Canis lupus familiaris: one gene and its partners. The protein of the gene in region 1 interacts with the protein of each later gene in a biochemical or structural test. Links are inferred from orthologs where the notes say so. Each region holds a gene or a part of one and is shown in the gene's direction. Other genes may lie near its edges.

The links.
Region 2: the proteins of BCAR1 (region 1) and CRKL interact in a test that uses a peptide from one of them, tested with the Homo sapiens proteins (2 studies listed by BioGRID, with this or other methods). The link is inferred for Canis lupus familiaris from reciprocal best matches to the Homo sapiens genes BCAR1 and CRKL.
Region 3: the proteins of BCAR1 (region 1) and PTPN12 form a complex in vitro, tested with the Homo sapiens proteins (3 studies listed by BioGRID and IntAct, with this or other methods). The link is inferred for Canis lupus familiaris from reciprocal best matches to the Homo sapiens genes BCAR1 and PTPN12.
Region 4: the proteins of BCAR1 (region 1) and PTPN1 form a complex in vitro, tested with the Homo sapiens proteins (3 studies listed by BioGRID and IntAct, with this or other methods). The link is inferred for Canis lupus familiaris from reciprocal best matches to the Homo sapiens genes BCAR1 and PTPN1.
Region 5: the proteins of BCAR1 (region 1) and CRK form a complex in vitro, tested with the Homo sapiens proteins (2 studies listed by BioGRID, with this or other methods). The link is inferred for Canis lupus familiaris from reciprocal best matches to the Homo sapiens genes BCAR1 and CRK.

Annotation. Positions count from the first base shown.
Region 1 is NC_049226.1:76,051,612-76,055,829, forward strand, and holds the start of BCAR1 (breast cancer anti-estrogen resistance protein 1), read left to right. Parts: upstream 1-1,287; 5' UTR 1,288-1,342; coding exon 1,343-1,576; intron 1,577-4,218. UniProt on the Homo sapiens protein: Docking protein which plays a central coordinating role for tyrosine kinase-based signaling related to cell adhesion. Implicated in induction of cell migration and cell branching. Involved in the BCAR3-mediated inhibition of TGFB signaling.
Region 2 is NC_049247.1:30,746,952-30,751,147, reverse strand, and holds the start of CRKL (crk-like protein), read left to right. Parts: upstream 1-1,313; 5' UTR 1,314-1,846; coding exon 1,847-2,157; intron 2,158-4,196. UniProt on the Homo sapiens protein: May mediate the transduction of intracellular signals.
Region 3 is NC_049239.1:17,884,912-17,889,249, forward strand, and holds the start of PTPN12 (tyrosine-protein phosphatase non-receptor type 12), read left to right. Parts: upstream 1-1,524; 5' UTR 1,525-1,584; coding exon 1,585-1,683; intron 1,684-2,577; exon of another isoform or gene 2,578-2,626; coding exon of another isoform or gene 2,627-2,662; intron 2,663-4,338. UniProt on the Homo sapiens protein: Dephosphorylates a range of proteins, and thereby regulates cellular signaling cascades. Dephosphorylates cellular tyrosine kinases, such as ERBB2 and PTK2B/PYK2, and thereby regulates signaling via ERBB2 and PTK2B/PYK2.
Region 4 is NC_049245.1:37,605,336-37,609,008, forward strand, and holds part of PTPN1 (tyrosine-protein phosphatase non-receptor type 1), read left to right. Parts: intron 1-7; coding exon 8-98; intron 99-3,138; coding exon 3,139-3,239; intron 3,240-3,673. UniProt on the Homo sapiens protein: Tyrosine-protein phosphatase which acts as a regulator of endoplasmic reticulum unfolded protein response. Mediates dephosphorylation of EIF2AK3/PERK; inactivating the protein kinase activity of EIF2AK3/PERK.
Region 5 is NC_049230.1:45,570,791-45,575,085, reverse strand, and holds the start of CRK (adapter molecule crk), read left to right. Parts: upstream 1-1,448; 5' UTR 1,449-1,555; coding exon 1,556-1,796; intron 1,797-4,295. UniProt on the Homo sapiens protein: Involved in cell branching and adhesion mediated by BCAR1-CRK-RAPGEF1 signaling and activation of RAP1.

The DNA of each region.
Region 1 (4,218 bases):
GTGGAACGGGATAAGCCCTGTGGCTCTGTGCCTCTTGAATTAGGGGACCCGTTGGGAGTTCTCCGTCTCCCTGCCTTGAGTCTTCCTTTCCTGGGGCTCTTACAGGGTAGGCCTGACAGAGAGGGTGAGGTGGACATTATTAGTTTTCTGCCAGCTGGGGTATGCCCCTTCCCTGGTACTTCTAGATTCAGATCGGAGTCGGGTGGCCCGACGGAGACTTGCGTAACGCCGGGGTCTGGTGGGTGGTGAAGGCAGAAGTCGGCTGACTTGAGGCTAGCTTTTGGGGTGCTAAATGGGGGAGGTTATCCCCACAGTCTTCCCAGAGGAGGGGGCCTTGGCTTAGTCCTTGAGGAGGGACACGTTCCTGCCCTGGATGGCGGGCGGAGAATGTGCATTTGGAGAAAAGGTGACATCCCCGTGCTAGCCTCGAAGGAGCGGGTGCGGGTGCGGGTGCGGGGCGTTGGGAGCGGTCCCGTTGGGTGGCGCGCGCCCGCGTCCCCGGAGCCGACCGGCGGCTCATTTGCATGGGGAGCCGCGGTGGCCAATGGGCGCGCGCGGCCGGGCATGCTGGGAGCCGGGCTGGGAGCAGGGCTGGGAGCCGGCTGGGGCGGCGGGGCGGGCGGCGGGGCGGAGGGGCGGGGCGGGGCGGGGCGAGCCCAGGGGCGGGGCGAGGGGGCCGCGCTTCTCCGGGCGGCGGCGGCGGCGGCAAGCGTGGTGACCGGACCGTCCGACCAGCCCGGGGCCGCCCCGCAGCCGCCGCCGCAGCCGCCCGCGGCCTTCCCGGGCGCCCGCAGCTCGGTGTGCGCCCCTGCGGGAGGCGGGGCCCGGCCGCCGGACACGATGAACTACCTGGTGAGTGCGGCCGACGCGGCCGGGGCCGCAGCGGAGTCCGCGCGCCGCCGACCGGCCCCCCGGCGCCCGCCCTGCCTGCGCCCGGGGCGGTCCCCAGCGAGGAGTCCAGTGAGTGGCATTTCCTGCCGGACCTGCGGGTCCTGGGAACCGCTGGCCGCTGCGGCCTCGGCGGGGCCGGCCAGGCGGGGCTCCGAGGCCCTGGAGCCCTCTCCCGCGTGGCGGGGCGCCCGGAGGCAGGGCTGCGAGGATCCCGGGGCCGTGCGCCCACGGGGCGGTGGGGAGGGCGGGACTCGGGGCCGCTGGCCGGCAGGAGAGTTCCTGGATCCGGGAAAGTTGCTGGCGGGCGTCCCGCTCTCCCCCTGCCGGCCACCGCCTGCCGGGTGACCTTGGGCCTGCGACACCCGCCTCCCGCCTCAGTTTCCTCGGCCACGGGGACAGGTCCGAGATTTCCTTGGACCACGAACTTCCAGGAGGCGTGGATTTCCAGGAAATGGGGTGGCGGTCCATCCCTGTCCGTCGGTGTGTTCTGGAGTGGGGAGCTGCCCCCTCCCCGCCCCCAGGCCCGCGGTTGAGCGAGCAAGTGTGTGGTGACCGAGGAGGTGTTGGTGCTGGCCGACAGCCAGTCCTGGGTCTGTTAATGATTCACCCTCCGGCCTGTCCCTGCCGGATTCCAGGCCTGGGGGCAGGCACTTCACCTTCACCTACCGTGGTTGCAAATACTGAGGTAGGAGCGGGATCCTGGCGGCGGGTGTGCAGTGTGGCATGGTGACCCCGGGGCCCAGCGTCGGAGGGCCCGGTGCATGGAGCTGGAGGGGAAGCGAGGCTGCCATTTGGGTGTCCCCCAGAGCTCCCAGCCCCTCGCTGCTGCCTGAGGCACAGCCCAGAGCAGTACTGAAGGAGTTGGAGAAGTTGAGGTTTGCTGAGGGCTGGGATGCTTGTGGTCCGTGGAAGTTAGTGCCCGGGGAGATTTTGGGGTCTTGGATCCCAGACTGGGGGTAGCGGCTCATTGGTCAGTCTTGAGGACATGGAGTTTCTTTTTTCCTTACCCCTACCATGAGGGTCTAGGCTGGGAGGCACTATTCTGGTTTGCTGTGACTTCTCTGCAGATTTCAGCCAGGCTGGGACATGTTCCTCATCCTTCTGGGCCCGGAGACCCATCCTCCTGTGTCCATTTCCTTTCCCAGGTGGAGAGCTGACGATGTGGGGTTCTGGGGTGGCAGGGATGATGGGCTTAGAAGAACAGGTGTGTGCTGGGTGCTGGGAGTTGCTGCTGGCATGCCGTCCTGGCAGCAGCACCCACTACCCGCTCGCTCTGGGCAAGGAAGGAACTCTGTGGGAACTGGTGGAGGCCGGGCAGCCCCAGGTTCTGCTGGGACAGTTACCCTTGGTTCTAGGAGGGGAGCTGGAGCCTCTGGCCATTACAGTTTGTGCTGAGCCAGAGTGCGAGTGCTGTGGGCTGCTAGGACCGTTTCCTTGGGCCTAAACAGGGGATTGAAGCAAGGTCAGCGCCACTAGGGCATCCCTAGTGGGAAAAGCCCAAGACAGCTGCTCTCCTTGTTATACAGATGGGGAGACTGACTGAGGCACAGATTGGATTTAGAACTTGGTCTCCCGGGGATCCCTGGGTGGCGCAGCGGTTTGGCGCCTGCCTTTGGCCCAGGGCGCGATCCTGGAGACCCGGGATCGAATCCCACGTCGGGCTCCCGGTGCATGGAGCCTGTTTCTCCCTCTGCCTGTGTCTCTGCCTCTCTCTCTCTGTGACTATCATAAATAAATAAAAATTAAAAAAAAAAAAAAGAACTTGGTCTCCCGGTATGGCCCCATGCTCTGCCTCACATGTGCTCTACCGCCCCCTCCCTTGGATTGGGGGTGCTCTGGTCCTTAGGGTGCTGCCATGCTCTACTGGCCACCATCTTGGTGGGGTCCTTCTGGCATCCGTTGTCTAGGTGTTCCTACCACCCTTTTCTCTTGGGCCTGAAAACTCCCTCCCCTACCTCCCAGGAGCCCACAGCCAGTGGGAGCAGCCAGAAACAGAGGCCAGGTGTGCTCCCCAGGAGGCTTCTAGAGGGGTGAGGGACAGTGTTGGAGTCATACTTGGAGAACAAGGTGCAGGGTCAGGGGAATAGGGATTGTTCTCCAGCAAAGACACAGGCCAAGATCCTCTTTCTCTGGGCCCTCCAAATAAGGGGCTGAAGGGTGGACTCCCTTCAAGGGAGGGTATGGGGCTGGGCCCTCTAGCGCTGGAGAGGCCCTGGCTCTGCTATCTTGCTGCCCTGATTCCCTTCCACTTCTAAGGGGTGAAGTTCTGGCCTGGAGTGGAAGGAGTTCAAACAGTGGAGGGGCAGGGCCCCATTGCAGACCCTCATCTCCACAGTGCATCCCAGAAATCAGGGGTTTGATACTTTTATCTGAGCGAGAACCCCACTATTGTGCCTTTTGTCCCCCTCCATTCCTGCTCAGGTGGATGGTGCTGCTATAAGGGTTACCGCAAGTTATCATTTAGGACTAGAGAGTAGCAGAACTGCAGGGGGCTTTGAACATCGAGTTGGAGAAAATGGGGTCTTAGGAGTGAGATCCCTCCTGTCCCCCCTTGAGCCATTCCTCCCGCCTCTTTCCCTCCATGATGACATATCTGGGGCTGGGTTACCCCTGAAGTGTTACCCTGAAGTCTCATGATGTTGAGCCCCCTCCAAAAGACCACCCAGCCCACTCAAGAATCCTGAGTCCTCCCCACAAGGCCCCAGGGACAGAGAAGGAGAGTAATGAGTAATCAAGTGCAGGTCTGGGTTCTAACAGCCTGGGGCAGTTCCCTGGGCTGGGTGGCAATGGTGAGAGTTCTAGAGGGTTGCTTGTTCTCACCAGCTGTGGGGTGCTAGGGGCCCATGTCTGCCCAGTCTCCCAGGGACAGTGTCTGGGATGCCCTGGCAAGGGTGGGAGCAAGGTCTTGCTTCTGACTCAAAGCTGGCCCGGGACACAGAAGCAACTGCTGTGGCCGCTGCAAACGAGACTACGCCACAGCTCCTGTTTGTGTGAGGGAGCTGCTGGCAGTGGCCATTACAGACGTGGGTTTTTAGTCCTTCATTCAACAGACCTGCCGCTTAGGTGATGAGTGTTAGACAGGGCCGAAGACCTGCGCACAGTCCCAGCCATGTCCGCTGAGCCTCCAGCACTTCTGAGATGGGTAGGGCAGGAGCTATGCTCCCCCTGGGACAGCTCTGGAATAGGGGCTTGCCCATGGTTTTGCTCTTTGGACTTGAGCCCAGACCCTGGCTACTAATTGTTCCTGGGGGTGTTAGGAGAATGCTGATAAGGCTGGCTGGGATGGAGTCTCATCAAGGATGAGGGTGTGGGGACTTGTGGGAAGGG
Region 2 (4,196 bases), on another chromosome or scaffold:
ACTATTAGCTTGTTTAATATATGAGCCATGGCCCAAGGTCACCCTAGCTAGTCAACTGGGAGCAGAATTTGAGTCCAGTCAGTTTCAACCTGAGAATAATACATGACAATATTGGGGTGGAGGGGATTGAAAACCTGCTTATGCTGAGTCACAAAAGGCACTAACCCTTGACATTTCCCCTTTAGCTTACCCTAAGCTGGATATCACCCATCACCCTAGAATTAGGTGTATGTTCAACCTGAGGGCTGCAAGCGCCGAAATGAAACTCCACTGACAAAGGGATCTGTATAGGTTTGTTATAGCCGGCGTCTCCCTTTCTTTACAGGCTTTCTCGTTTGTCCAGTTCTAGGGGTGGTGCTACCAATAATCGGGCACCAATAGCCTGAGGATTTTTTTTTTTTTTTCAAAAGTCAATTCATTCAACAAATATTTGAGCATCAGGTCAGGTCCAGACCTTGTGCTAGGCCCAGAAGCGAGCAAGACAGACAAGATCCCTGATCTCTTAAAATTTCATCGCGGGGAGGGGAGGCAGGGTGGAGAAACAGGCCACCACGACCGGCCGAAGCAGGTCAGCCAGGGGGCGGGCATGCGAGGAGATTAGCTCGAGAAGCTGCAGAACTGGAGCCGGACGAGATCTTCGGGCCACACCCGGGGGAGTCCGCATTTCATCAGTTAAACGCTAATGATGGCCAGATTGCACCAAAAGGTGGACTTCCTCGGGCCACTCAATCCTGTCGCTCCGACCTTCGCAACCCCTTTTTGCGGCTGTCGAGTTTCCCGGCCACTCTGGGTCCCTGAGCCTATCAGGCCACCTCGGCTTTGGTCACGTCAGCCCCCGCGGTCGCGTCCTTCCAGAGCCACCTCGACCCACCGAGGCGTGTCCGCCCGCGGGTCTCCCTCAGCGCGGGTCCCCCGGGGCCCCTGGGCCAGCCAGGTCACCTCAGTGCCACGCCTCCACGGCCAGAGGTTCTGCATGCACGTTCTGCTTTGTTCGCGGAGCAGGTTTTCGAAACGCCGCTCCCTCTCGACTCCAGCTGTTTTCCAGCCGGAGCTGGGGGGGAGCCCGCAGCGGCAGCGCCCCCGGCGGCGCACCGCAGCCCAGGAAGGGAGTGGCCGTTACCGCCACCTCCTCCTCCGCCGCCTCTACCTCCTCGCCTCCCCCGCTTCCCCGGCCGCCTCCGCCTCCTCCCGGAACGCGGGAGCGGCGGAGCGCGGCGCACGCCCCGACCGTCACGACCGCGCTCCTGATTGGCCGCGCCGCGCGACGTCACGGGGCGGGCCTGGGCGGCAGCTGAGAGCCAGAGCTCGCGCGTGCGCAGACCGAGCGCGCTGAGCGGAGGGGGAGGTGGCCGGCCGCTTGTCCCGCGTCCGCCATTTTGTTGCTGTGGCTCTTGGGAACGGGCTGGGCGAAACCGCCCCGGAGGCGCGACGCTCCTGGGAGTCCGGTGCTTCGCGTGGCGGCGGGTATCAGTGCAGAGCCGTGGGGGGCGCGGAGTCGCGCGTTCCGGGCCAGGAGTGGCTGGAGGCACCCCCGGTACGCCGGGCAGCCCCAGAACCCCGGGGCGGCCTCCGCTGCGGCTCAGCTTCGCCCGCCCCGACCTCGGGCTGTGCCCTGCATTCCCCGGGCCGGCTCCGTCCGTGAGGCGGCCCCGGAGCAGGCGGGCGGCGGCAGAGGATGCTGCGGGCCCGGAGCCGAGACGAAGGTGCTGGCTCGGCCCTCTAAGCGCGCCTCGAGGTGTGCCAAGAGGCCCTTCCTTGGCCGCAGAGCCGTCTGTCGGGCGAAGGCGTCCAGAACAGCCGAGAGCAGCCGCCGCCCCGAGTCGCCGCAGAGCCCCGGCCAGACACCATGTCCTCCGCCAGGTTCGACTCCTCAGACCGCTCCGCCTGGTACATGGGGCCGGTGTCTCGCCAGGAGGCGCAGACCCGGCTGCAGGGCCAGCGCCACGGAATGTTCCTAGTTCGCGATTCCTCCACCTGCCCTGGGGATTATGTGCTGTCGGTGTCCGAGAACTCGCGGGTCTCCCACTACATCATCAACTCGCTGCCCAACCGCCGTTTTAAGATCGGGGACCAGGAGTTTGACCACTTGCCGGCCCTGCTGGAGTTCTACAAGATCCACTACCTGGACACCACCACCCTAATCGAGCCCGCGCCCAGGTACGCGAGCGCCCGCACTCCCCGCGCGCACAGCCCCCCTCGGACCGCGGCGGAGGGTCGAGAACAGCAGGGGCTGGTTCGCGGGGGATCGACCGCCGGGTAGGGGGTGGGGGGAGCGGGATTGAACTCCTTTCACCCCATTCTGAACCAAATTGTTTTCCAGAAGGCATTCTGATCGGAAGGCTAGTGCCAGGGTCTGGGTTGTTGGATGAGGGGATGGGTTTTAAACCTGTGTAACGGCGGTTGCCTGGTTAAAATGCCCGCTTTGTGCCGTTCGTCACATTATCTATTGGGTTATCCTAATCGAGACGTTTTTGTTGTTTTTAAGCCTTTTTTGTTTTGTTTTGTTTTTTTTTTTGAGAATCTCAGGGCAGCTGTGGCGTTCTCCCTCCGTAAAAATGCACGTACACACAACTTTGCACACCGTTCAAGGTTCTTGGGCTCCCTGCTCCAGTTTAAGAACTCTTGGACTGCAGCCTTTGGAATAATCGACAAATGAAAATGCTTGAGCGTTTAGGAACAAAACCTTTCACAGTGAAGTGGCGGAACTATGTAGGATACCTTGGTGCTAAATTTGAATTACCTAGACACCTTTTGTTTTATAACTAACACATTTTATTTTATTTTATTAAAGATTTTATTTACTTATTCATGAGAGACACAGAAAGAGAGAGGCAGAGACACAGGCAGAGGGAGAAGCAGGCTCCATGCAAGGAGCCTAATGTGGGACTCAAACCCGGGAACCCGGGATCACACCCTCAGCCAAAGGCAGGCGCTCAAGCGCTGAGCCACTCAGGCATCCCAACTAACAGAAATTTTAAGAAGATGATGCATTGGCTTTAGCGAGGACGCATTTTTTTTTTTTAATTTTTATTTATTTATGATAGTCACAGAGAGAGAGAGAGGCAGAGACATAGGCAGAGGTAGAAGCAGGCTCCATGCAGCGGGAGCCCGACGTGGGATTCGATCCCGGGTCTCCAGGATCACGCCCTGGGCCAAAGGCAGGTGCCAAACCGCTGCGCCACCCAGGGATCCCCGAGGACGCATTTTTTGAGTTTTTATTTTATAGTTTATCCCCAGGGTGGACCATTAATAGGCCAGAAATGTATTTGATTATATTCTAAAGAAGAATGAAGCTAGGATGTAAATTACTAAGGAAATTTTTGAGCGATACTTTAATTCTGTCCTAGTTTAATTTTAGGTATACCTTTTGTACATTTGTAAGTTTAATAATTTAAAGCAAGCAGCATTCTCTTTTCTAAGTAAATGCATTATTTTATTTGATTACTTGCTTTAATTTGTCTTTAGTATTTTTTCACGTTTCTTTTATTTAAATTATGTCAAATTTGAACTGAAGAAATTGCTTGGAATTTTTTTTTAAATAAAAAGTATTTTGCTGTCCATTTTGGTTCTTGAACTTATGTTTAAAAGGAATAGGCTGCCGGGATCCCTGGGTGGCGCAGCGGTTTGGCGCCTGCCTTTGGCCCAGGGCGCGATCCTGGAGACCCGGGATCGAATCCCACATCGGGCTCCTGGTGCGTGGAGCCTGCTTCTCCCTCTGCCTGTGTCTCTGCCTCTCTCTCTTTCTCTCTGTGTGACTATCATAAATAAATAAAAATTTAAAAAAAAAATTTTTTTTTAAAAAAGGAATAGGCTGCCGATATAGATTTTTTTTTTTTTTTTGGAATGACCTGTTTCTGATTTTATAGATTTGCTGATAAGATGTTGCACTGAGCTTTAACCATTAAAAGCTATAATAATTAAGGAGCACCCACTGGATGCCTAAGTGTTGCTTCTGTGGAGTAAGAGAGAAGAAACAAAGCCATGACAGTATAATGACTATAAGATTAACTGCTGAACTAAATGGACTTTAAAAACTGGGAGAAAGTGATTATAAATCAAATAGTGTTATAACAAAGGCCTAAGCACCAAGAATCTGATTGGTGAAATCTCCAGGTCCCCAAAGATGCTGGTAATTGGAGTTGACGTGGAGCATGGTATATTCTGATATAAGAGGTTGGAGAGAGTATTAGAACCAA
Region 3 (4,338 bases), on another chromosome or scaffold:
TTAAAGAGAAACATCGTTCTTTGAAACAGGAAAAATATTGTACCCACCTATATTCTTCAAGGAGTTTTATCGTTAAGCTCCATAGTGGTTCTAAACATTCATCTGGGAGGAGGGGGCTAGCACGCATGTTCCCTATTTTCGACCCATTCCCTGCCCAAGCTTATCTGATAAATTTCTTGGGTGTGGGTAGGAGGGATCCAGAGAAGTCCAGGGATCCAATCATTCTGTCCTGCCACGTTACCACTACGTTCCTTAGTGAGGGGCAATCCATCTAAGGGCTGTACTGAAAGCAGGAAGGTCTGAGTTCTAGTGTTGGCTCTGCTAAGGGTACGCTGGGGGCAGGGGTGGGCCCAGGCAAACCACTTTCTTCGCAAAAATGGTGAATTAGATTAGGACAGATTCTCTCTAATTGCCAGAAGACTTGCAAAGACGCACACAAATTCATCAAGTCCATTCTATGGAGAAAAAAGCCTGTTAATCATTTCTGTCCGGAGGGCTGCGAATCTGAGCTCCAAAGCACAAAGTGCGTCTCATTCAGCCAACACAGGCGTGGCAGGTGTTCGGGTGCGCTCCGGGTCTCAGGGCTCACCCGCCAGGGCTGAATCTGCAGACGGATCTGCAGAAGGCCTTTCATTCAAGGAATATTTGGCTTGTCCCGGCCGCAGCCACTGCCCGAGGCGGCAAGGTCAGGCGCCGTCAGCATCCCGGGCCCGCAGCGGGACCCAGACCCACCCGCCCCGACGCGGGGGGACGCGACTACGGTTCCCGGCATGCCTCTGCGTCCCGCCCCCCCCCCCCCCCGACTCCCGCGGGCCGGGCCTTGTGGCCGCAGGGCGGCGCGGAAACACTCGCAAAGTGCGCCTTTCCCACCAGCGGGCCGTGAGCCCGCAAGTTCCAGCGGAAGTCTTCCTGGACCGACCAGGGTTTCCTGGGCTCGGAGGCGCACCCCGTCCTGCGGGACGCCCCACCCCCGGGCGCTCCAGGCGGCCCCGGCCGGACCACGCCCCGGAAGTGGCTCCCGCGGCCCCGCAGGCCGCCGCGGGCCTCGCAGCCACTGCGAGAGGGTCTGGGCGCGGCGGGGCGGGCCCGGGGGCGGGGCCCGCGGGCGGGGGCGGGGCCTGGCCGGGCGTCTCGGCGCCTGGGGCGGGGCCACGGCTCGGGGGCGCGCGTCTGGGTGGCGGCGGGGCCGCGCCCGTGGGGAGAGGCGGCGGCGGCGGCGGCGGCGGCGGCGGCGGGCAGTGGGGAGGGGGTGGGGAGGAGGGACCGGGCCGGGGGGCAGGGCCAGGGAGAGCCGAGCTCCTGAGGCGGCGGCGGCGTCTCCAACGGGGGAGGAGGAGGGCGGGGACGAGGATGGAGCGGGCGGGGGGTTGGGGCTGGCGCTAGCCGCAGCGGCTCGCCTCGGACCGGGGGAGCGCGGCGGCTGCTCCTCGAGTTGCGGCGTCGGGCGCCGGGCCGGTGGTGCCGCCGCTGCCGCCGCCCCGGGCGGTGGGGGGAGCGGGGCGCGGGAGGCCGGGCGGCGCGCTGGGGAAGGCTGAGCGGGCGCTGCGCCGGGCGGGCGGGCGGCGGCGGCGGGCGCGCGGGAGGATGGAGCAAGTGGAGATCCTGAGGCGGTTCATCCAGAGGGTCCAGGCCATGAAGAGCCCGGACCACAACGGGGAGGACAACTTCGCCCGGGACTTCATGGTGAGTCGCGCCCCGCGCCGCCCGTTCCCGCCGGCGCTTTGTGCGCGGCCGTGAGCTGAGCAGCGGGGCGGACGGCCCGGGCCGCCTCCTCCGCCGCCGCCGCCGCCGCCGCCGCCGCCCTCGGCCTCCCTCCGCCGCCGCCCGGCCGAGCCCGCCCCGCGCGCCGCCGCCCGCGACCACCTATTGTCTGCGGGCCGGGAGCGTGCAGCCTGCCCCGCCCGGCGGGGTCTCCCGGGGGGTCTCCCCGCGGGGTCTGCGCGCGGGGTCGGGGCGAGGTGACCCGGGGAGCGCGGCGGGGCGGAGGGACGGGGGCGCCAGGTCAGCCCCGGCCCGGGGCCGCCCTGCCCCGCCGGCCGCGGAGGTGGGCACGGGGCGCTTGGCCGCCGCGACCCCCGAGGACCCCCGAGGACCCCCGAGGACCCCCGAGGCTGGGCCGGGGTCGGCCGCGGGCCCCGACACCCAGGTTTGCGGTGGCGCCGGGGTCCCCGCGACGTTAGGTCGGAGGGCCCGGGTGTGCGCGGCGCTGCGGCTCCCGCTCCCGCTCCCGCAGGAAGCCCCCGCCGACCCCTGGGGGTGTCGTCGGAGGCGGAGGGGATGTGACCATCACTTCCTATCCGGGGTGGGGGCGGGGAACTCGGGAACAATAGTCCTGGTGGGGCGGAGGCTCCGAAGCGGCCGGAGCGCTGCACCGGGAGATAACCTTCCCTGCCCCCCCTTCCGCCCTCGGCTCGGCGCACGGGCTGCGGGAGGTGCGAGGTCCTGCTCCCGAAGTCGCCCGAGGCACAGCCCCTAGGAGGGGGTCAGGGCCAGAGGCGTGGGACCAGAAGTCCGCTTCCTACATCGCCCCCCCTCCCCTCCACCTTTTATTTTTCTGCTGGACAATGTTCCCTTTAGGGTTGTTTCTCGGCTCAGGAGGCGGTGGTTGCGGCGGCTGCTCCTACGGATGTTGCGCAAGACCGGGGCGTTGGAAACTCTGGAGGTCTGGGGAATGGAAAAGGAAGTGGGACTTGGGGAAGTGGCTGCTCCTTGGCCGCGGCGGGGTTCGGGAATGGGAAATAGGCTCGGGAGAGGTTGGTCCCGGGCAAGGTACCCCCCGCAGAATGATCCCTTAACCCCGGAATTCTCCATTGTGAAAAGGACACACGGCTAAGTCCATAAAAATGAATGGGCAGCACACATTGTCTAGGGTTTTTGTTTGTTTGTTTGTTTCAAAGTGCAGTTTGATTGTTTACAAGGTGCCGCTGAAATGACTTTTAGCCCTGAAAATGCTTTTTCACATTTTAAAGAGACTCGGTTATCTACAGTTTTAGGCATTAAAATTGCTAACAGCTTGTACAATAGATCGTTGACCTTATACAGCAGTGTAATAGTATTGTTGAGCTTCGTGATTCCCGCCTTCCTAGACCGGTGAAAGAGGATGGGAGTGAGATTTTGTTAGTATCTTTCGAAGATGGAAAAATGTAGGTAAAATAATCTGTGTCCTGTTTTGGACATTTTCTGTGGATATTTAGCCTATGTGTTTTTGATCCGAGGAAAATAAAGAGGGTATTTTCTCTTCTTACTAGTGAGAATTGGGTCGTGCCACTCAGAAGTAATTGGAGGGAGTCCCCTTTTTCCTTTTTTTGGCCAATAGAAAATATTTACTTTTAGGGCATTTTAGAAGTTTAAAACCAGGCTTTTGCAGTCTTATTTTCGTTATGGAAGAAGAGGTGGTGTGGTCCTTGGTCACTGTGAGTTTGCATGCTAGTCATCTTGTTATCCCTGGGCATATCCTGTCAGGAAAGAGCATTGTTTGGTGATGAAGGCCGTCAGGACAGGTGCCCAGTCTCTGAACTTATGTGCAGGGGAAGTAGCCTTGGGGTTCGTGCTTTGCGGATGAGTCAGGGATCCTATTGGAGATTTCATTTCTGAAGGACTGAGTTTCTTTTATCTTCCATAATACCTAGGGATAGATAGGTGATTCTACGCTGGAGATTTGATGACTAAGGCTATTCTTTTATAGGGCTTGCTTTTTTTATTCCATGACTTGATAAGCAATAGCTATAATTAAGCCTGCTAGATAGATGGTGCTGCTTTTTCCCTTGACTGGAAGGCTAGAGGGAGACCATGTCCCCTGTGCCGTGGAGAGAGAATAGAAGATAAGCTAATAATTTCAAGTGTTCTGTTACTCTTAAATTCTTATGTGGATCAAAAATGCATTATTAAATTGTAGCATTTTAGAACTGAGCCTTAGAAATAATCTATTATAATACTATTCAGTTATAAAGTACTAGTTTTTTTAATTTCAAATTTGGAGATTATAGAATAATAATTAATAATGCCTTACTCTTAGGAATGTGGGGTGGATTATGTTCTTCCCTTTGTTGTATCCAGCCTTCCTAGTCCTGTCACCCAAAGGCCGTCTCTGTTAATGTTCTTAATGCATCTGTTTGACGGTGCTGTTTATTTCATTTTATATTGTTGGTTTTTTTTCCCAACTTATCATTTTGATAAGTACTTTTCATTTGTAAAAATCCAGTAGCTATTTAATATTTCAGTGGCTATATGATATTTTACTTGGCAACTATTTTATAGCTTAACCATTTCCTTGTGATTGAATATTTGGCCATTTATTTTCTATTATGAACATTTATGGGTAAAACTTCCTTATTTTGG
Region 4 (3,673 bases), on another chromosome or scaffold:
TTGGTAGGACATCCGACATGAAGCCAGTGACTTTCCGTGTAGAGTGGCCAAGCTCCCTAAGAACAAAAACCGAAACAGGTACAGAGATGTCAGTCCCTGTAAGTATTCACATCACCGTTACCAGTCTCACTGTTTCTGTCGGGTGCTCAGCCGCAGCCTTCTCCGCCAGCACCCCTTGAGCCCGTGGGCTTTACTAATAAATCGATAGCAGTACAGGTTTATGACTTGGTGGTTTCCTATAATAAAGGCATCAGAGACGGAGAGGAATGGTTCGTTTTTTCCATGATTGTAGAAGGAATGAGGTTTCAGTTTCTGGAAAATTCAGCTAAGTTCAAAGCACTTTTTTTAGTTTTGACTATTTTTATGATGAATCATTTTCCTACCAGCTGAAGCAGAGTATAGTAGGCATAATATAACCTTTTCTGGATGACTCAGCAACAGTATTATTAGACCCTGAGCATCGTATTGAACTGTAATGATGCCCTGCACAGCCATTAAAGAGTAGGAGTGGTGTCCCCCCACACACACACACTAAAGACAGCTCTGCTTGTTCCACCCCCACCCACCCTACCCTCCACTGCCATCCTCATTCTTCTAGCTGTTTCTTGCCGTTATCTTTCACTGTGCCTTCTGGCCTCTGACCGCCTCCTCTGCCTTTTGAGTAATTGGCTCTGAATCTGCTGAAATCTCAAAAGTCAAGAACTAAACATGTTAGAATTTATGTAAAGCAAGAAAAACTGGAGCCAAGTAAAGAGCATGAACTTTGCCATCTCCTCTAGGCCATGGAGAACCGAGGCCACGGAGGACCTTTTAAATCCCCTCCCAGGGGGCAGCCCGGGTGGCTCAGCGGTTTAATGCTGCCTTCAGCCCAGGGCGTGATCCTGGAGACCTGGGATTGAATCCCACGTCAGGCTTTCTGCATGGAGCCTGCTTCTTCCTCTGCCTGTGTCTCTGCCTCTCTCTCTCTCTCTGTGTCCATGAATAAATAAATAAAATCTTTTAAAAAAATAAAAATCACCTCCCAGGATGTTAGACCCTGTCCATCAGAGAGGACTGTAGCTGCCAGCATCTCCCGTGGCAGTGCCTTCCATCTGCCAGGAACATAGAAGTCTCCATCAGTTCTCCCTTGCGCAGGCCCTTCCTGCATGCCTAAGTCACACCACTCCTGCGGGTGCTAGCATTTGGTGCTGTCCGCAGGAGAGTCGCCATGCAGATCTCAGGATTGTGTGAAGATGAAATAAAATAACATAAGCCACTTAGCTTAGTATCTTGCTCATAAATATTCACTGTGGTTGAGATTAACCAACAGTGGCTGTTAACTAAAGGCGTACACCAGACACATCTGAAGTGTAGTGCTAGGCCATCAAGTGGCACATTATTGCACCCCAGCACACTTGATTTAGCATGTCTAGGTTGTGGCACCTGGTAGGTTTTATCAATAAAACAAAGCTTTCCTCAGGTGATTCTGTTGTGAGGTCCTGGCCAGCTACTCTGAGCTTCAATGAACAGTCACTGTTGGCATCTTTCATGCAGAGCCAGGAGAGACCCCCTTGCCATCCTTCCTCTGCACTAGTCAGTAATGTCTTAATACATCCTTTTCTACAGTTTTCATCAGTGCTCATCTAAATGTTTTTATGAGCCAGTTTTCCAGAGGAAATAAAGCATTTAAAATACTCTTCCAGGAAACAGTTCCCAAACTTTTTCACCCCTAATCTCACTTCTGTTTCTCTTGTTTTCCCCCAACTCCACTGTCCAGCAACAGAGAATTTGCTCTTAGGGTCACAGGGAACATGGGGAGAATGATTGAAGGTAGAAAGTGATTTTGTTGTCTGTCTTCCATTTGGCAAATGAGAAGCCCAGGGCTCAGAATTGCTTGTCCAAGGTCACCCATCTTGAACCCTGTTCAGGTGCTGTTTGAACCCATTCATGTAACCCATCAACGGGTTATATGGTCTCATCATCTTTTTTGAGATCTTTAATGTCTACTACTTAAATATTACCCAAGTATTTGAATTTGTATTAATCCTCTGAGATGAGAAACATTATTCCAAATGGTGACGAATTTTTAAAAACATTTCCTTGGAATCCTTTAGAACAAAAGGCCCCAAACCATGTGTCCCCCTTAACTTCTTTCCCATTGGGCTCAAGAAGAGAAGATAGTATTTATGAATGGTCACCTGGGTTCATCATTCCTTGCATTGTACCAGAAATAAAAATACCCACCTGTTCTTGTTTGCTACATGAGCAGAGTAAGGAAAGTGGCCCCCAGGGAACCACTGCTTTTGTGACCAAGTCATGGTGAAAAGAAAAAAAAAAAGTGGCTATGCTTTTCAGTAACCTGGTGCAGACCTTCCAAATGAGAGTTATATTTTTAAAACTTCTGAAAGTTACGTTTAGTGTACTTCCAGTATTTTGGATTCAGAGTTAATTTTTTCCAGTTAAGTATCTTTTAAATGTCTTATATCATGACAGTTTCTGAATTCGAAATATTAGAATTCAATTCTAGTTGAATTTAATTCATAGAATCATTTAAGTGTTTTACACTCAAAACTTAAAAAGAAACCAAAAAACTGACATAAAGGAATTCAAGGTATCCCTTTCCACACCACTATCTACTTAGGTCATTTCATCATCAAATCATTAGACATAGGTTAGATGGAGAGATGATCATAAATCCTACCAATGGTGGTTCGTTGTACCAACTAGAGCTTTAAGGACTGGGTGAAATTTTTGGTGTATTTTCCCCCCCTTTTAAAGATTGAAGCCACTGTATTTTTTTACTATATGAAAGTATATACTAGGTATCTGAAAACAGATCCCTTGACAACCCCTCCTCACAGCCTCCTGAGTTATGGGGCAGTGATAAGTGTGGCACCTAAAAACAGCTTATCCAGTTAGGAAAGAACCCATGTTTTAGTGTAATTTGTCTCTGTTGCTCTTTAGCAAAAGTTTCAAACACTTCCAGAAACTTTTCTGAAAATACTAAGTCATCCTTATATTGATGACTAATCTCAATTAAACATGTAAACGCCCTTAATGCCACCGACTCACCTTTTTTGCTTTCCCCATGGGGTGCACTGCCTGTGTGGACACTTTGGTCATCCAGGACTAACCTCCGAGTTCTGACTTGCCTTTCAGTTGACCATAGTCGGATTAAACTACATCAAGAAGATAATGACTACATCAACGCCAGTTTGATAAAGATGGAAGAAGCCCAAAGGAGTTACATTCTTACCCAGGTAAATGAATTGTCCAAAATTTTTTTAGTGGCTTTTTGCCCTTACTTGATGTCAACTTAAGAATTTTAGAGTGCTGTCATCTATACTTCAAATAAAACCTGCTACATCTTTTAGAAGGTCAGGTTTTCCACAATCCAAAAGAACAACGAGGAAGGAAAAATCTTCCTTCAGAGATTCAGTTTGGTTGTAACATGCGTCTTTTCTGGTAAGTATACTGCTGCTGGGCTTACAGAAAACAGCATGAAATGTGCCAGAATTGCCTGTGGTCCACTGACAGAGGCAGCAGAGCTGTGGCAAGAGAAGGGCCCGTTCCTGTGTTGGTTTCCTAACTCAACTTCAGAGTATCGAGTGCTGCTCACAGAAATCAAAGAGGGTTAGCGGTAGACCCGTAATCTTTGTCCGGGTGTCCACTTAGAATTCCTCAGCTTGGTCCT
Region 5 (4,295 bases), on another chromosome or scaffold:
CGAGTCCCACATCAGGCTCCCTGCATGGAGCCTGCTTCTCCCTCTGCCTGTGTCTCTGCCTCTGTCTGTGTGTCTCTCATGAATAAATAAATAAATAAATCTTAAAAAAAAAAGAAAAAAAAGAGAAGACATTTGAGATTCAGATCCAGAAAGGAGTGAAAGGGTATTCCAGAAAAAAGAAACACAAGGTTCATGTAGGAGCTGTTAAGAGGACACTGTGACCTCATTTTATGCTGTGACCTAAACTGGGAATTTTAAGTTCTGGAGACTGTTGTTTGTTTGTTTTTTTAAGATTTTATTTATTTATTTATTCATGAGAGACACAGAGAGAGGCAGAGATGTAGGCAGAGGGAGAAGGAGGCTCCCTGCAAGGAGCCTGATGTGGGATGCGATCCCACATCCCAGAATCACCCCCTGAGCCAGAGGCAGATGCTCAACCACTGAGCCACTCAGGCGTCCCAGTTCTGGAGACTGTTAAAAGTTGTGCACAGGGTAGGAACAGTCTTAGAGTTGTAATTTAGAAAGCACACACTGTCAGATGTGTGCAATGTACTTAGAGCAGCAAGTCTATAGGGCACCAGTGAACAGGCTGTTCACAGGAATACAGATACAGATATGGAATACAGAGACAGAGATCATGATAGTAAGGAGAATAGAGGATACCCCTGGCCACGACTAGTGTTTAGAAGAATCTGGGCAAATGACTTGAAAGACTCAATCCAGAGAACTCCTGGCTTGGCACATTCTGCTCTCTCTGTCTTGCATGCTCTTCCCCTACTGGCCATTCAACATTCAGCTCAAGCCACCTCCTCTGGTAGGTGGAGGACTGAATCCCTTTACAGACTGGGCTGGAGCTCCTGGTTGGTTCCCTCTCACAGTGCTTGGAATTCCTTTGTCATTGTTCCTGCTTCCTCCCACTGGTCTGTGAATTCTGTGAGGTCAGGGCCCAAACCTTGATCACCTTTGCACCCACAGAGCAAATGTGGTGTCAGTAACTGCTGAGTCAATCAGTGCAAACAAAATACTTAAGCCAGTCTAGAGAGAAGATGGAGGAACCACCAGAAAAGGACCAAAGTCTCCAGGAGCTCAGGCCCTGAGGCCACATACATCTTTTGTAGTCCAACTGTGTCTCGGAGTTGCTGCCTAGAATTCCCGGGCCTTCCAGGAACTCGAACCCTGGAGCCGCGTGGCCAAAACCGCAAACACAAACCTCCGCCGACTCCTCGCTGAGCCCCTACCACCGGCCCTGGACTTGGCCCCTCCATCCCCTGCAGTCCCGATCCCCGCCAGGCGGCGACGCACACGGCGGCGCATGCGCAGTGCGCACCCGAGCTGTCCTTTGCCCTTCTCCCCATGGCGGGTTGCGGTCCCCTTCCCGGCATCCTCGCGGGGGCAAGGTGCGCGTCATTTCCGGTGGGGAAGGCCCGCGGCCGCCGCCGCCATTTCGGGCACTGCTGTGAAGCTGAGACCCGAGCCGGTCCGCTGGGCGGCGGGCGCCGGGGCAGGAGGGGCGCGCGTGCCGGCGGCGGCCCAGCGTGTAGGCGCGGAGGCGGCCATGGCGGGCAACTTCGACTCGGAGGAGCGGAGTAGCTGGTACTGGGGGCGGTTGAGCCGGCAGGAGGCGGTGGCGCTGTTGCAGGGCCAGCGGCACGGGGTGTTTCTGGTGCGGGACTCGAGCACCAGCCCCGGGGACTATGTGCTCAGCGTCTCGGAGAACTCGCGCGTCTCCCACTACATCATCAACAGCAGCGGCCCGCGCCCGTCTGTGCCACCGTCGCCCGCCCAGCCTCCGCCCGGTGAGGACGGACGGGACGGGACGGGAGGCCCCGGGCGGGGTGAGGGCCGCGGAACTCGCCAGCCTGACCGGCTGCCCCTCGCGAGCTAGCCTCCACGAGGGACGTGGGCAGAGGGCTGGAGCGACCCTGGCATGGGGGTACCTTGGTGCCCGGGCTCGTTCCCACCACTGGCGGTTGTGTGTGTGTGGAGGAGGAGCCGCTGACCCAGGCCTCTGGGTGTGACTTGGGAGGACAGCCCAGGGGAAGGGGAACTGCTTCGGCCCCAGGGTGGGGCTAGCGCCGGGGCCAGGCACTAGGGCAGGGCGGGCAACGTGGGGACAAAGAGCGGAGGGGGATATTGGCACTGCGGGGGCATCACTTGGCAGCGGTTCCCAGGATGAATTCGATAATCCTACAAGTGGCTTTTTAGGCTTGAAACATTTCCTGTACTGTTAGAGAGCCGGGTTTGGTTTGGAGAGCTATTCTCCCCTGCTGGCCTTTGATAGGAAGTCACCACATACTAGCCCGGAGGGATGGAGACACCCTCAGGAAACCGGTCAGCTTTTTCCTTTCTTGGGCATCTTTCCAAAATACTTTTACTGTCCTCTTCCCCCGCGGAGGACGAAGGTGGTGAGCTAAGTGCCTTGGTGACAGAAGTAAGCCCTCTGTGATCAGCCCAGAACAAGTTGATGTCCAGCTGACCGTGTCCAAGAGATCTTGGCGTCCAGAGACTCTTTTCCACAATTAGAGGGTTCTAGTTTTCAGGGTATTTTGTGGAGGACAGATTCTATGCCCCCACACCCCTCCCAGGAAATAAGCCAGTGGAAACAGTCCCTTCCTTGGAAGTGAATGGAACTTCCAATTTCATTGGACTTAAGCATTGTCAATGTCATATGTCAGGGCCTCTTGCTCAGTAAGTTGGGGCTGTGGCCCTTTTCTTTCTTAACCAAGGATCACTGAGATGTGACTGTCCTACTTACGCCTTTAGAGCTGTTTGGAGAATGTTAAGGAGGTTCATGCACTTAGTACTTGAGATTTGTGAAATACAGAGTAATTCTGAGGTTATTGTCAGATTACCATCATCTGTGTAACAGCACCAAGAGTTGTAGTCTTTCTCATTTTTCAAATTGAAGCAGTTTTCTTCTGACCAGCTGAGGCTAGCTCCAGGCCAGTCTCATAAGAATTAGGAGCCTCCTGAGCCAGCCTTTGCAAACTTGCCCTTTAGGGATAGTCCTAATTTAGATTCATTCACTCTGGCCAGAAATAGGGAGATGGGATAGTCAGTCTCTGTTGCTAACACGTATCAATTATAGGAAGAGTATGAGATCTTTAAATCCAGGAAGTATCCTAGGTCTTCTCAGTCTGCTTGGTTTAATTTTTATTTTAAGATTTTATTTATCTATCTATCATCTGTCTATCTATCTATCTATCTATCTATGAAAGACACAGGCAGAGGGAGAAGCAGACTTCTCGCTGGGAGCCCGATGCAGGACTCAATCCCCAGACCCAGGATCATGCCCTGAGGTGAAGGCAGTCACTCAACCGCTAAGCCACCCAGGCACGTCCCAGTCTGTTTGGTTTAATAGCATAACATGAGACAGGAATATTGATAGAACATAAATTTGCCCTAAACCCGATATGTTGTGCTTTTCCTTTTTTTTTTTTTTTTTTTTTAATTTTTATTTATTTATGATAGTCACAGAGAGAGAGAGAGAGAGAGGCAGAGACATAGGCAGAGGGAGAAGCAGGCTCCATGCACCGGGAGCCCGATGTGGGATTCGATCCCGGGTCTCCAGGATCGCGCCCTGGGCCAAAGGCAGGCGCCAAACCGCTGCGCCACCCAGGGATCCCTATGTTGTGCTTTTTCACCACCTTCTTGGTATCTAGGGTTGTGCATTACAGTGCAGTAATATGTCAAACTGTCACTGAAATTCAATTTTCAACCTCCTGCACCCCCAGTTTTCAACCTTTTATGTATGCGTTTTGCAAAATTTGGAGATGACAACAGGCAGGTTTGCTGGTTTGAGCTTTCTACACACCTTTGTGTTATGACTTTATATCTCTGCGCTTACCTTGATATTGAGCTCCACCTTTTCATAACAGATAGGAGTTCAAATCCTTGGCTCAAGAGAGAAGGTGAAGATTGCCAGAGTTTGTGGATGGGGTGTGGAAAGTTCACAGGCATTGTGTTAATTCTTGTTTCTGGTAATGTGCCCAGTTTTTCACATAGAGCAATTGATTGAGTTGCTGTCTTTATAAAGGTTACTTAGTCTTTGTTCTCCTTGCTTCCCCGTCAAGCTCTTTTCTTTTTGAAACTATACAGAGGAATTTCTTTAATTTTAGAAAAGCGTGTAGAGTATTAATAGCTAACATTTATTGACTGGTTATTCTGTGCCAAGTACTTTGCTGAGTACTTTCTGTGCCTTGTCTCATTTTCTGTCTATAACAATCTGGTGAGAAATACTGTAATCTCTATTTACTAAAATATTTTCATTTTATAGGTGAGGAAACAGAGAGATT